3 linked regions of the Coturnix japonica genome follow. The protein of the gene in region 2 interacts with the protein of the main gene of each other region in a biochemical or structural test. Links are inferred from orthologs where the notes say so. Each region holds a gene or a part of one and is shown on either strand. Other genes may lie near its edges.

Region 1 (4,405 bases), on a different chromosome or scaffold from region 2:
GAAGTCTGACTCCTTCAGACAGCGGTGTCTGGCTGGAGGAAAAGCACCTGAGGCAGAGCTGTGGGGTAAAGGCAGTTCTTTCTGAGGAGCCCTATCCATTCTCTGCTGAAATGCTGGTCCCAAACGATCCTTCCAGCAACGTGCAGAGGTTTCACACTTGTCACCTTCCCTATGAGCAGGCTGGCTTCTCTGGTCTGCAAACTCCTCGTTTTTCCTAACAGGGCATGATGGTTTCCAACATCCCTGCCAGGCCCCACAAAGACGGAGCATCTTTAGTGTTATAGCTGTGCTTTTCTTGGCCATTTCCCCCCCTCTCCTCAATCTGTTCTTGTGCTGCTTGAACAGGGTGTTTGTTTATCGCTGACCTCAGCCCACAGGAGGTGCCTGTGTCTTTCTAAGGACAAGCCACAGAGCTTCCCCAGGAGCAGTGAAGCTGCCAGCAGATACCCAGAGGCAGGCGCCATCTCCTGCCTGCATCTCCATGAGCCACTCAAGAAGCAAGGCTGGGGCCAGAGCAAGCAGTCAGTATGTAGGCACTTGGCTGAGAGAGGGGCCGGGGACTGCTTCCCCCCAGCATGGCGCCCTCTGAAGCAGATTAAACCTGAAGGTACAATATTCTGCAGACAGCGTTAAATGAGGAGGAGCTGTTTCTTTCCTTGAGGGCAGAGAGGCCTTGCAGAAATATCACGACAGATTAGAGGGCCGGGCAATCACCAGCAGCATGAATTCAGTGAGAGCAAGTGCTGGATTCTGCAGCTGCGTTGGGCAGCCCAAGGTCTGTGTGCAGGGTGAGAGGCTGGAGAGCAGCTGTGCTGATAGAGATTGTGGGGTTCTGGTTGGTGAACGAAATTATTAGTGCCCAAGGGAGGGCTGCAAGGATGGACAAAGTCCTGCAGGCCAAAGCTGTGTGAGGAGCGGCTGAGGTTTGCTCAGTGTGGAGCTGATGGGGGCTGATGGCGGCTGCAGCTCCTCACAGGGAGCGGAGGGCAGCGCTGAGCTGTGCTCTGTGTGACCGACAGGGAGCGGCACGATCCTAAAGAGCAGCGTGCCCTTCCAGCTGCGACAGGTCGGTGTGCCTGTGTTTCCATAGAGGTGATGGACTCATTGCTCAGCACACCCCGCAGGGGCCGCCCGCTCAGTCCCGGTCCGGCCTCACCCGCAGGCGGCGCGCGGGAGGAGCGTTGCCGTGCGGTCACCTCCGACCCGGAGGCCGCGGCGGCGGCGTCGGTGCTGCGCAGTCGCGTTGCGGTCGTTGTGTCAGTGCGCATGCTCCGCGCTCCGCCGGTCGGTGTGTGGCGGTGTCTCAGTGCAGAGCGGGAGGCGGCGGCTCTCGCTCCGTGCTCCCGACCCCGCCCCTCGCGGCCCGCGCGCCGCGCCGCGTGACCCCGCTCCCGCCGCCCCCGCGACCTTCCGCGGGGCGACCACCGAGAGCCGGGCGGGGAATGCGGCAGCCGCAGCCTCCCCCCGCCGCTGCGGGGCTGCCGGCGGCGGCGGGGGGCCCACGGGCCTCCTGCTGAGGGGCGCCCGGCACCTCCCGCCGCGGCCTATCGGCCTATCGATCCTCCGCGCCGCGCCGAGCCCGGCCCGCCCTGCCCTGCCCGCCGCCCCTTGCGGGCCGGGCCCGGCGGCACCATGCAGGCGCAGCCGCTGCTCTACGAGTTCTTCAGCGAGGAGAACGCGCCCAAGTGGCGGGGGCTGCTGGTGCCCGCCCTGAAGAAGGTGAGGGGGGAAGTGGGAGCGGCGCTCGGCCCTGCCGGCCGCACCGGGCCTTTCCCCGTGCCTTTCCCCGTGCCTTTCTCCGTGCCGCCTGCAGCGGGGGGTTGGGGGTGGGAAGCGGCCCGGCCTCTCCGCTCTCCCCGCTCTCCCCGCTCCGGAAGCGGCCCGGGGAGCGCGCCCGGCCGGGCCCGGCGGCGCTGTGACAGCCGGGGCTGCGGACACGGAGCGGCCCCGGGTTGAGCCGGACCCGACGCCGACGTCTCCCCGCCGGTAGGATCCGGTAGGACGCCGTCATCCTCGGGCTGGTGGAGCTGACAGGCGCGGACCGACGTTGTGTGGAAGAGGGGAGGAACGGTGAGCGCCGCTCCGTCCTCCTGCAGCCGGGCCCGGGAAGTGCAGGACGTGAGGAACGGGGCTGTCTGACGCTGCCGCCCGGACCGGCCTCGGGTTGGCAGCGGGGGGGTGCTTGGATGCACCGCAGTGCTTTCTTATGGCTGCGTGTATCCATAGCTGTGAACGGCAGCTGTTGGGTGAAGGACCTGCTCCTAGGGCCGGGTGACCTCTCGTTCCCCATCGCAGTTTGGAGGTCTCAGGCACTGCAGTCGTTCCACTGCAGCATTTCTTCCCAGTTTCCTCTTGTGACATGTCACCCTGTGTTTTGGGCCTGCTCTTTGAGCCCCATCCAGTTACTGGAAGTCTTCTCACTTGTCATCCCCGTAGCGTGCTGTGTTTGTGCTTCAGTCCTTCTTGGTAGTCACTTCTTTGGAAGCACACAGCCGAGCAGACTGTGCGGCTCACAGCTTCTCCCTGCACCTCTGTGTGTGTGTGGATGGCCACCAGCTGGGGGCTGGAGCCACCTGCGGCCTCCAGGCACCTTCCAGAGGAGTGAGCTTGATCTGGGCATTCTGAGGCATGACAGTTTGTCAGACTTGGAGCAAGGGTTGATGCTGAGTAATGGAGAAGAACGCGAACTGAGGATCTCAAGGCAAAATTTAGCCTGGAATTATTCTTTGTGTTGGGAGCACAAGATCTCATCCTAACGAGCAAAAGACATTCACAGGGACACCTTGGATTAAGAACGCTTGCTGGAGGAGCTGGATGAATTGTTTAGGTGAAAGGAAGAAGAAGGGTCAGAAGTCACAAACAGCAGCCTATGGAGATAAGCTTCCACGGGTGCCAGCTGGGCCCATGAGGTACAGTTGTCTCGGTTTCATGGTGTGGTGTTCTCTGTGGTAGTGGGGCAGCTGGGCTGAGGTGGAGTTAGTTCTGAAGCTCTGATGCTCAGATGTGTGACTGTCGAGCAGATGTTAGTGCTTTGAACCTCTGCTTTCATGAGGTTTACACCTGTTTCTTATCTCCTCTTGTGCTGTTGCCCAGCATGCTCCAGTAGTGTAGTCCTCTGGTGCTTCCTGCTCCTGTCCCCATAAATACAGAAATAAAGAACCCATCCGTATTGTCACCTTCCTTGCTGAAAAGCCAGATTCTGGAGTTACAGGAAAACCAAATGACAGATGAGAACATACAGCTGTTGTCTTACTAGCTTTTTCATTAATTAAGAGGCCAAATGGAGCATTTTACTAACTTAAACAGGTACAAGTTATCTTGTCTAGTGTGCTTAGTCCTGATAACAGCCTCATAAAGTAGCAAACCTATCCTAAGCATCAGGTGCAGCCAGGAGAGCTGCGGTGTGCTTGCTCTGACAGCTGTCTGTTGTCTCTCAGGTGACAGGTGCAGCCCTGCAGTGGGTAGCTCAGGGCTGTCCCCATGCTCTGCCTCTTAGAGCAAGTCACTCCTGGAGTCTGTGTGTGGGACCAGTAAAACAGAGAGAATGTGGCAGTGAATGCCAGCAAGACCAAAGGGCAGAACCTTCCCAGAGGGAGAGCACTGTGTGCCTTTGCTAAATTGCTGCAGCACGTGCTCTCTGTGCTCAGGTTATCAGGTGCTGATGTGCATCCCGTCATGAACCAAGGAGGATTTTCCCTTCTTGCCTCCATTGAGCTGACCATGCTCTGATGCTCCTGGGTAGTGGATAACGCTTCTGAATTCCTCCTTGAGACCTGCTGGGTACCCAAACAGGATCATTGCGTTCTTCTGCATAGCTGGAAGAAAGACTTGGGAAGACCTATGTTGAATTACCGTTGCTGATTAGGAGAATGGTGTTTAACGTTGAAGCATGTATACCAGCGTGCTGCATTCCCAGCTGTTGGGGAAGGCTGCCATTACTCTTTCGTAAATACATGTTGGCTTGTAACGTGGAGCTCGAACAGCACCCCTAGAATCACTTCCTGAAAAATAGGTATTGTTGAGCAATTGCAAAGGGTTTTGTCTTTCCCAATGACTTATTTTGATTCTGTGCTTTTTGTTACCAAAAGCAAGCGTGTAGTAAGTATAAATTGCTTCTTCTGTCAATGAAGCCTTACAAGCATGTGCCATGTATTTCATTAGACATGGGCCTTAACAATGGAGTCTGTGCTGCGCTGTCTTTGCATTCAACAGCTGCATTTGAAAAAAGCAGCTTTTGTACCATTCAGATCATAATGTAATCCCTTTTCTTCCCATTCTCCTTCAGATCCTGTCAAGATAGACTTCAGTGCACTCAATTAGGAGGGAAATGATGTGCAGTGAGATGCTTCTCTGCCTGGTCACTGTTATTTTGAAGCATCAGAAGACAAAGTGTAACAGAGGCCCT
Region 2 (3,646 bases):
AACCTAGCAGACATTGCACTGAAGTGGATTAGAGTGCCCACAGTCTGTCACCGCAACTTGTATGGAGACATTAACCTCCAGTTGAAGAGTGGTAACAAGCAAGAATACAAGTCTTTTAAAATCCTCCGGAGACCTGACAATTATCTATCTGTCTGCACCCCATATGCTCTGTCCTTAAAAATGAGGGGTAGCTTTGACCATACAGATCACAACTTTCAAATAAGGAAACTACCATCAGTTACAGAGAGCTTTAATGGAACAGTGGAAATGAGTATTGAGTGAAACTGAGACATTCATTAATAATTCCTCGCATCATGAATTACCTATGAATTACAAATAAACACAGCATGAAAGTGTTTTCCTGGCCCTCTGCAAAAATCCATTCTAAACAGTTCCACGGGGAACTGAACTGATACCAAAATATTTACATATGGAACACTATAAACTGTAGAAGAAATGTTCAAATACTGTTTCTGCATATAAAACATACACAAATTTTTACAAGCCTGATATTAAAACAAGCCTGTTTTGTTGATCCTGGGCTCATATTTTGCTAATACACAGACTGCTTACATTTAATCACATAGTAAAATAGTGCTAATGCCATCCAGTCTGGAATGCTTACCTTCACCTGACATAGTTGCTTTAGCTGCTGGTGATGCTACTCTTTTCAGACTAGCAGGACTTTCTGAAGAACCAGAATCCATGCTTTACAAGAGAATAACAGTTATTTAAGAAATTAAATCTCTTCAGAAGATGCTTAATGTATGTTAAAAATAAAACACATACATGTATCCTTAAGCAATTCCCTAAATTTTCTAATAAACAGTAAACTTACAAATTACATCTTTAAAGTATGATGGCTAGTTGTAGTTATAATTAAGTAACTGCATGGAATACACCATTTGTTGCCTCTCCTTATCCGTCAGAAGAGAAAAAAATCTAAAAACATTCTAATCAGTATCAGTGATGTTAATGCTGACCTCACCTTTCACAGAACTAGATTCTAATTGTTTCATCCTCCAAGAATAATGATAAGTGATTAAGCTCTGATGTATTGTATTTTATTCTGAGAAAAAGATAAGCTGAAACTTATGCAGCTATAACTCATAATGTCAAAATAGTAATTTCTTAGTTGCAAGCGACTTTTAATTAAGACTGCTGATTAAGCTTTAGGTCTATTGGTGGTGGTGCGTAGTACAAGGAGAAATGAGGTCAGCTTACATATTCCTCATCTGAATTTTCAGAGACGGGAATAAAAACCTAACAGAGAAGAGTCACATCAAAACTTTAAAACTCAAGTGAGCAACTTTTCACATTAATTTAACCAAAATAGTATTGAAGTAAAGTACAGTATAAGCATATACAATACCTTGTCGACTTCCTAATGGGGCCTGAAATAAGCTTCACATATGACTTAGGAAACCACCCCTTTTGTCCTTGAACTTCTCCAAACCACCACATATCTTGCTGCTCTAAAACTGTGATGACATCATTTTTGTTAAAATTAAGGTGGTTGTCTTTTTTTGCTCTCCAAGGATACAAAGCCTGTGCTTGAAGTCCCTCCACCTTTTCACCCTAATGCAATTTAGAGAAAAAAGAGAGAGAATTCAGCCTTGCAACACTTTTCATAAAGGCAGCTTCTTAAGGAGTTACATTCTTATACAATCTATATAGCCCCAAAATATGGTGACTTCTCATCTGTATAAAGCAAAATATGTCAGTCAAAATTACAAAGTAATACAAGAAACGCCCACAGCCCTCCTACATTTCTTTCTGTTAATGTGTAATCTCTACAATGCAAGACTATTTGGGAGTTTGCTTCTTCGTAAGTTCAACAATTAAGATATAGATACAATAAACCGTGACAAAGTTATTTTGAAAGAGTTTGAAGTAAATTTTATGGAAAACTATGCTTTGCTGCTAGTAATACATTGCATATTCCTACTTTTTAGTTTTGCTCAAAGACACTTAGGTATTTTGCATTTATCAGAACAACACATTAGCTTACAAGAACGATGAGCCAAGTTGAGGAAAGCACAGTCTCTTACAGATGGACTGAATTCATCTTATGTGAAGCTTAATCTCATCTACACCACTTAACCATATAATCCACTCTGGAACAAACACTGTTGCCATGTGATTTAATAAAGCCCAAAGGAAGTGATTCAAAAGTAGCACCCAGCCAAAATTTTAAGATGGGACCACTGTAGTTCAAAAAAGCCAGCAAAGAACTGCAGAAGAACAGCTGCTTGTTTGTGTTAGATTCTGCCACTGACTTTGTTAATGGGTGTATTCTAATACTTTTATCACTCTAAACTGTCATAGTTTGCACACTCAGGGAAGGATTTCAATTGTAAATATTCTCTCTGCTATCCAGAAGTTCATGCTGGCTCAGAACAGTTCCAGTGAACACAGCTGCTCACCTGACCCAATACAGGAGAGGGAGACGATCCTGTAACAGTGGCAGGGGTGAAGGCTGATCTCTGCCGCAGCTGCCCTGCACTGGGAACAGTCAAAGACGGCTGAGCTGCCCAGGCATCCCAGTTGTCTGTCTCTGGTTTCTCATTAGTGTTTGCTGGCCATCTGAAAATAAGTGAATTACATTATTCCTACTGTTTTCAGGGGAGTAAAAATGCTCATGTGCAAATAAATAAATTCAACATTCTTGGTCTATTTCTTGTAATTCAATATTCCATGAGTGATTAGCAGCTTAACTCTGCAGTGAAGGTTATGCAAACAAAGAAAGTGTTACAATAAATATATTTCTATAAGGCAATCTCTAAGAATAGTTAATTGTTCATTGGTGCTTATTTATGGCCAACCATTTCTGTAATTTAGTTTCATTGTTTAGGTGTGCCCCAGTACAATGAAAATGTTAAGTACTGCAATCTATATTACATACAGTCACTGATGGCTCTCACATGCCTCTGTGTTATGCCTCATAATGCTACTTCAAATCTTTAACTCTTTTCTTTTGCTTAAAATTATTTTCTACTGACTTTTTTAACTCTAGAGGTAGTTTTAACACTACTTCTTATCCTCTTTATGCTCTTATATTTTAAAATGTCCAACAAGTCTCATGATCTATATCTCTGCCTCAAAGTACCCTCTTAGATTATCAAAATTCAGTGAACTCAAGGAGTATAAGAAAATAATCCAACTTAAATCTTCTCTGCCTGCTTTCTTTGCCTGTTTCATGTGCTCTTAGTTGAGTAATCAGTTGTACACCTGGACTATAATAGTGCCAAAAGGCGATAACTAACAAAACTCTTTTCATGTCAGGGACAGCATTACTAATTTTATATGAAAAACATGAAAATGTGTATTATCTGCCTAGATAGGATAGGAGAATGATTCTAGTTTTACAAGGCTGCAATTGTAACTATTTACTACAGAAAAATATTTTACTTGTAATACGTTACTTTGTAATAATATATATATATATATATATATATATATATAGTGTAATTTACTTTGTAATATGTTACAAAACATTTTTCTTTTGCAATCTGTGTACTTTGTTTTAACTACTTATCATAGTCCAGTCAATTAAAAAGTACACACTTGAGGCGATAATCACTACCCAAACATACGTTGAACTGAAGTCTGCCCAGTTGTTGGCAGTTGTTGTGCACTCAGTAGA
Region 3 (3,646 bases), on a different chromosome or scaffold from region 2:
TCCCTGTTCCTCTTCCCTTAACCTCGTCAGCATTCTACTCTGCTTTATAAGTGTTTTAGAGAACTGTTCTATAAGTTCCTGTTCCAAGTTTTTCCTGTTTTCCTGTTACTGTGTGAGAGGAAGCGGCTATAAATAGTTCTCCCATTTAAAATGTGATAATTGCTTATCTGTTTGTATCTGCTGCTCCTAATAAACGTCTTGCATCCATCTTTCCTGTTACACTTGAAGGTAGGCTGTGTTTCTGTCAAAATGTGCTTCCTGACAATCTGATGTGGTATTTGAGCCACTTCAGATTGGCTCTGAACCAGGCTGGGGCTCTAGGACATATATTCATAAAGGACATGTGCCACCTATTGGTGTGCAATTGGAGTGGCGTGACAAAGGAGCACTGGTCTCTAGTTTTACTGTCTCAAAACCTAATGTAGGGGGTAATGAGTAACCACTGTAGGTAAGTGTTAATTGCCCTTTATTGCTCATAACACAGTTTCCTTTGCAGAGCATCCCATTCTGGTTTCTAGTTTAGCTAAGCAATAACATGGTTACTCTTCCAGAGTCACTTAGGTATTAATACACTGTTAGTGGGATTGGTTTTCTGTCTGCTCGGTGCTATTTTAACATCTTCTCCCAATTCTAAGACCAGCTAAAAATCTTTTTTCATTTTTGTCCCTTTTTTTGTTTTGATTTTTTTTCACGTGTGCTCAAACTGACCTGCCAGGACAAGGACAAAGTAAGTCTGACCCTCCCTGTGTTGCCTCCTGGGGCTCCCACTGTATTTTAGCTCTTTTTTCCTTTGGTCACTGTTTTCCAGGAGACATTTGTTTCTCCCCTCTTTCTACCTCCTGTTGGATGCTGCTGTTTGTTTCTGTTCTTGATCTGAGTTTTCCTAATTTTTTTCCCCTTTTTATTTATCCTTTTTTAATATGATTTCTGGATCTTGTTGGAAATCTATTTTTGTTCTTTTGACACTTCTTTTTTTGAGTTGTCCTGCTTCATTTCCACTTCCTTTAGCTTATGTTTCTCACTAAGGCCTTCCATTACTTCATTATGCGAGATCTTCCTTGGGAAAGCTCAGATAGACAAAGGAATTTGCTCTTTCTGGTATCTTTTGTTCCCCAAAGCAAAAGCAGATCAGCAATTTCCTGCAATACTGCAAATCTGTCACTGGGATGGTTTAAAGAAAAGCTTTTTCCTTAAAATCAGGTTTCTTTGTAATAAACATTGGCCTGTTGCTTTGAGATTGATCTCCAATGGCTGAGCATTGGCAATTGCCTGCTGTCAGACAAACCTGCTCCTGGCAGACGGGACAAGTATCTCCTGCTTTGTGCAGGAGAAGAGGATTTTCAGTTGATGTTCTGGAAGGTTTTCTAGGTTATTCTTCCTGCTTGCAGTCATCTCACCTCCCCGTATCTGTTTTCTTGTTTGTATAATGATAAGGATAGAGTGTGTAGGAGAGCCTTAATTTATGGTGAGTGATTCTCAGGTCTGAAATGAATCTGGGTGTGCGAAGCACAGCTCAAATGAAGAACCTCCCATGAGGCTGTGAATGCTAGAAGTCAAAAATACAGCTTTGGGTATTCACTGGAGTCGTGGCCTGTGGACATTGGTTGGGAGTTGATGCCTTTCACCTTCCATGGGGCTGATTCCTACTAAACGAGCATCTTTAGTGTTAAAGTTTTTCAGCTCTAGAGAAAGGTTTACAAGCTGTGCTGTGCATCGACGGTCACAGCTCAAAAAACAGTTTCCTTGCATGCTCTTCCTGCATGTTCTCCCCCTTTTCTTTACTGAACTGTTATGGAAGAGGTAATTTTGTATGGTGTTTGAAGAACTGTTCTGCTTCTGCCTTTCCCTGCAGGCCAGTGAAGCGGAGGAGAATGGATCAGACAGTTTCATGCACTCCATGGATCCTCAGCTGGAGAGACAAGTGGAAACGATCAGGAATCTGGTGGATTCCTACATGGCAATTGTCAACAAAACCATCAGAGACCTCATGCCGAAGACAATCATGCACCTCATGATAAACAATGTACTTATCACCCTGACTGGTAGAGATGGGGAGAAACAGGGAGGGGGCAGAAACCTGAAGGCAGCTTGAAAGGAGGTTTGGGGTGGGATGGAGCGTTCTAGCAGATGCTGGCAGCTGATTCCCTCTGTTCTTCTCTTTGGTAGACAAAGGACTTCATTCATTCAGAGCTGCTGGCAAACCTGTACTCCTGCGGCGACCAGAATACGCTGATGGAGGAATCAGCAGAGCAGGCTCAGCGGCGTGATGAAATGCTGCGCATGTACCATGCCCTGAAAGAGGCCCTCAACATCATCGGGGACATCAACACCAGCACTATCAGCACCCCAATGCCCCCACCGGTGGACGACTCTTGGCTGCAGGTGCAGAGCGTACCGTCTGGACGCAGGTACCAGAGGCTCAGGGGGAGAGCCCCGCAGACCTGCCCGATGCCTCTTGGGGCTAGCTGGGGCCTCCCACTGAGACAGAGGGGATTCTCTGCCCCTCTTCTGCCTGTGGATGGAGAGTTGTGGGTATTTGTGTGGGGAGGCTTCTCTGCCTTGAAAGCTGCATCTTTACAGAAGGTGTGGAAGCAGACTCTTAGATATTCTTAGGTTAGATGGGGCCTGAAGTAGCTTTGAGGATAACCTGAAACCTGACGCAGCTCTTGAAAGCCAAGAGTTGTGCTTAGAGTGATACGGAACTAAAGAAGGAACACTAAAGGCAGCATATGGTGCCATCAGTAGTGATGGGGAGGAATCCCAGGCCTGTCGTTGCAGTTGAATGTCTCTGTTTGTTTGTCAGGTCTCCTACGTCCAGCCCCACGCCGCAAAGGAGAGCTCCCGCTGTGCCCCCCGCCAGGCCTGGCTCTCGAGGTCCAGCTCCTGGGCCACCTCCTGCTGGTGGGTCGGCGCTGGGTGGTGCCCCCCCTGTGCCCTCCAGGCCGGGTGCCTCTCCTGATCCCTTTGGGCCCCCACCTCAGGTTCCTTCTCGACCTAATCGTGCTCCTCCTGGTGTCCCCAGGTAAGTCCTGAAGTGCAGATCCAGGCAGGTGGAATGCTTGGTTTGGGTTCAGCCTTGGGCTGTCTGAATTTGATCCGTAGGCAGGAGCATCATTGGCCACCCAGGTACCATACAGATGGTACAGTGGCCTCCTCTCTGAACCCAACTCCATGCACAGACTGGGGGAAGAGGACCTGGTACCCAAGAGCTTTAATAAAGCAATCATAATTCTTCTGCTTGCAAGTAGTAGGTGGTCACCAGAAAATCACAGGGCTAGGCTGACAGCATACCTTTGAAGGCAGTTCCCCTCTATAGAATTGCCCAAAGCCTGTAGTTGCTCTTCTCCTGGCAGAGTTTTTTTTCAAGGTGAAGCTAGAGAGGACCTTCATCAAGGACACTGAGATGCTTTTTTGTGAGGTGAATATTGCGATAGCACTGGCAGGGAAGCACTTTTTGTAGATGTTTTTGTTGTTTCTGCAGTCAACTTGAATGTTTTCCAGCCTGAAGGGCTCAGATGACGCAGCTTTGCTTTCCCATTAGGAAATGTAACTCCTGTCCTGTTCAGTCACTTCATACACCCTTCCATGTAGTGATCAGGGTCATCCCTTAGGTGGCAATGCGCTTGGTCCTGAACAAGACTAGGGA

Evidence for each region.
Region 1: the proteins of ITSN1 (region 2) and SOS1 form a complex in vitro, tested with the Homo sapiens proteins (2 studies listed by BioGRID, with this or other methods). The link is inferred for Coturnix japonica from reciprocal best matches to the Homo sapiens genes ITSN1 and SOS1.
Region 3: the proteins of ITSN1 (region 2) and DNM1 form a complex in vitro, tested with the Homo sapiens proteins (2 studies listed by BioGRID and IntAct, with this or other methods). The link is inferred for Coturnix japonica from reciprocal best matches to the Homo sapiens genes ITSN1 and DNM1.

Annotation. Positions count from the first base shown.
Region 1 is NC_029518.1:14,500,309-14,504,713, reverse strand, and holds the start of SOS1 (son of sevenless homolog 1), read left to right. Parts: upstream 1-1,515; 5' UTR 1,516-1,632; coding exon 1,633-1,719; intron 1,720-4,405.
Region 2 is NC_029516.1:94,931,938-94,935,583, reverse strand, and holds part of ITSN1 (intersectin-1), read right to left. Parts: coding exon 3,597-3,646; intron 2,587-3,596; coding exon 2,427-2,586; intron 1,579-2,426; coding exon 1,373-1,578; intron 709-1,372; coding exon 626-708; intron 1-625. UniProt on the Homo sapiens protein: Adapter protein that provides a link between the endocytic membrane traffic and the actin assembly machinery. Acts as a guanine nucleotide exchange factor (GEF) for CDC42, and thereby stimulates actin nucleation mediated by WASL and the ARP2/3 complex.
Region 3 is NC_029532.1:3,763,630-3,767,275, reverse strand, and holds part of DNM1 (dynamin-1), read left to right. Parts: intron 1-715; coding exon 716-727; intron 728-1,852; coding exon 1,853-2,023; intron 2,024-2,166; coding exon 2,167-2,408; intron 2,409-2,803; coding exon 2,804-3,022; intron 3,023-3,646. UniProt on the Homo sapiens protein: Catalyzes the hydrolysis of GTP and utilizes this energy to mediate vesicle scission and participates in many forms of endocytosis, such as clathrin-mediated endocytosis or synaptic vesicle endocytosis as well as rapid endocytosis (RE).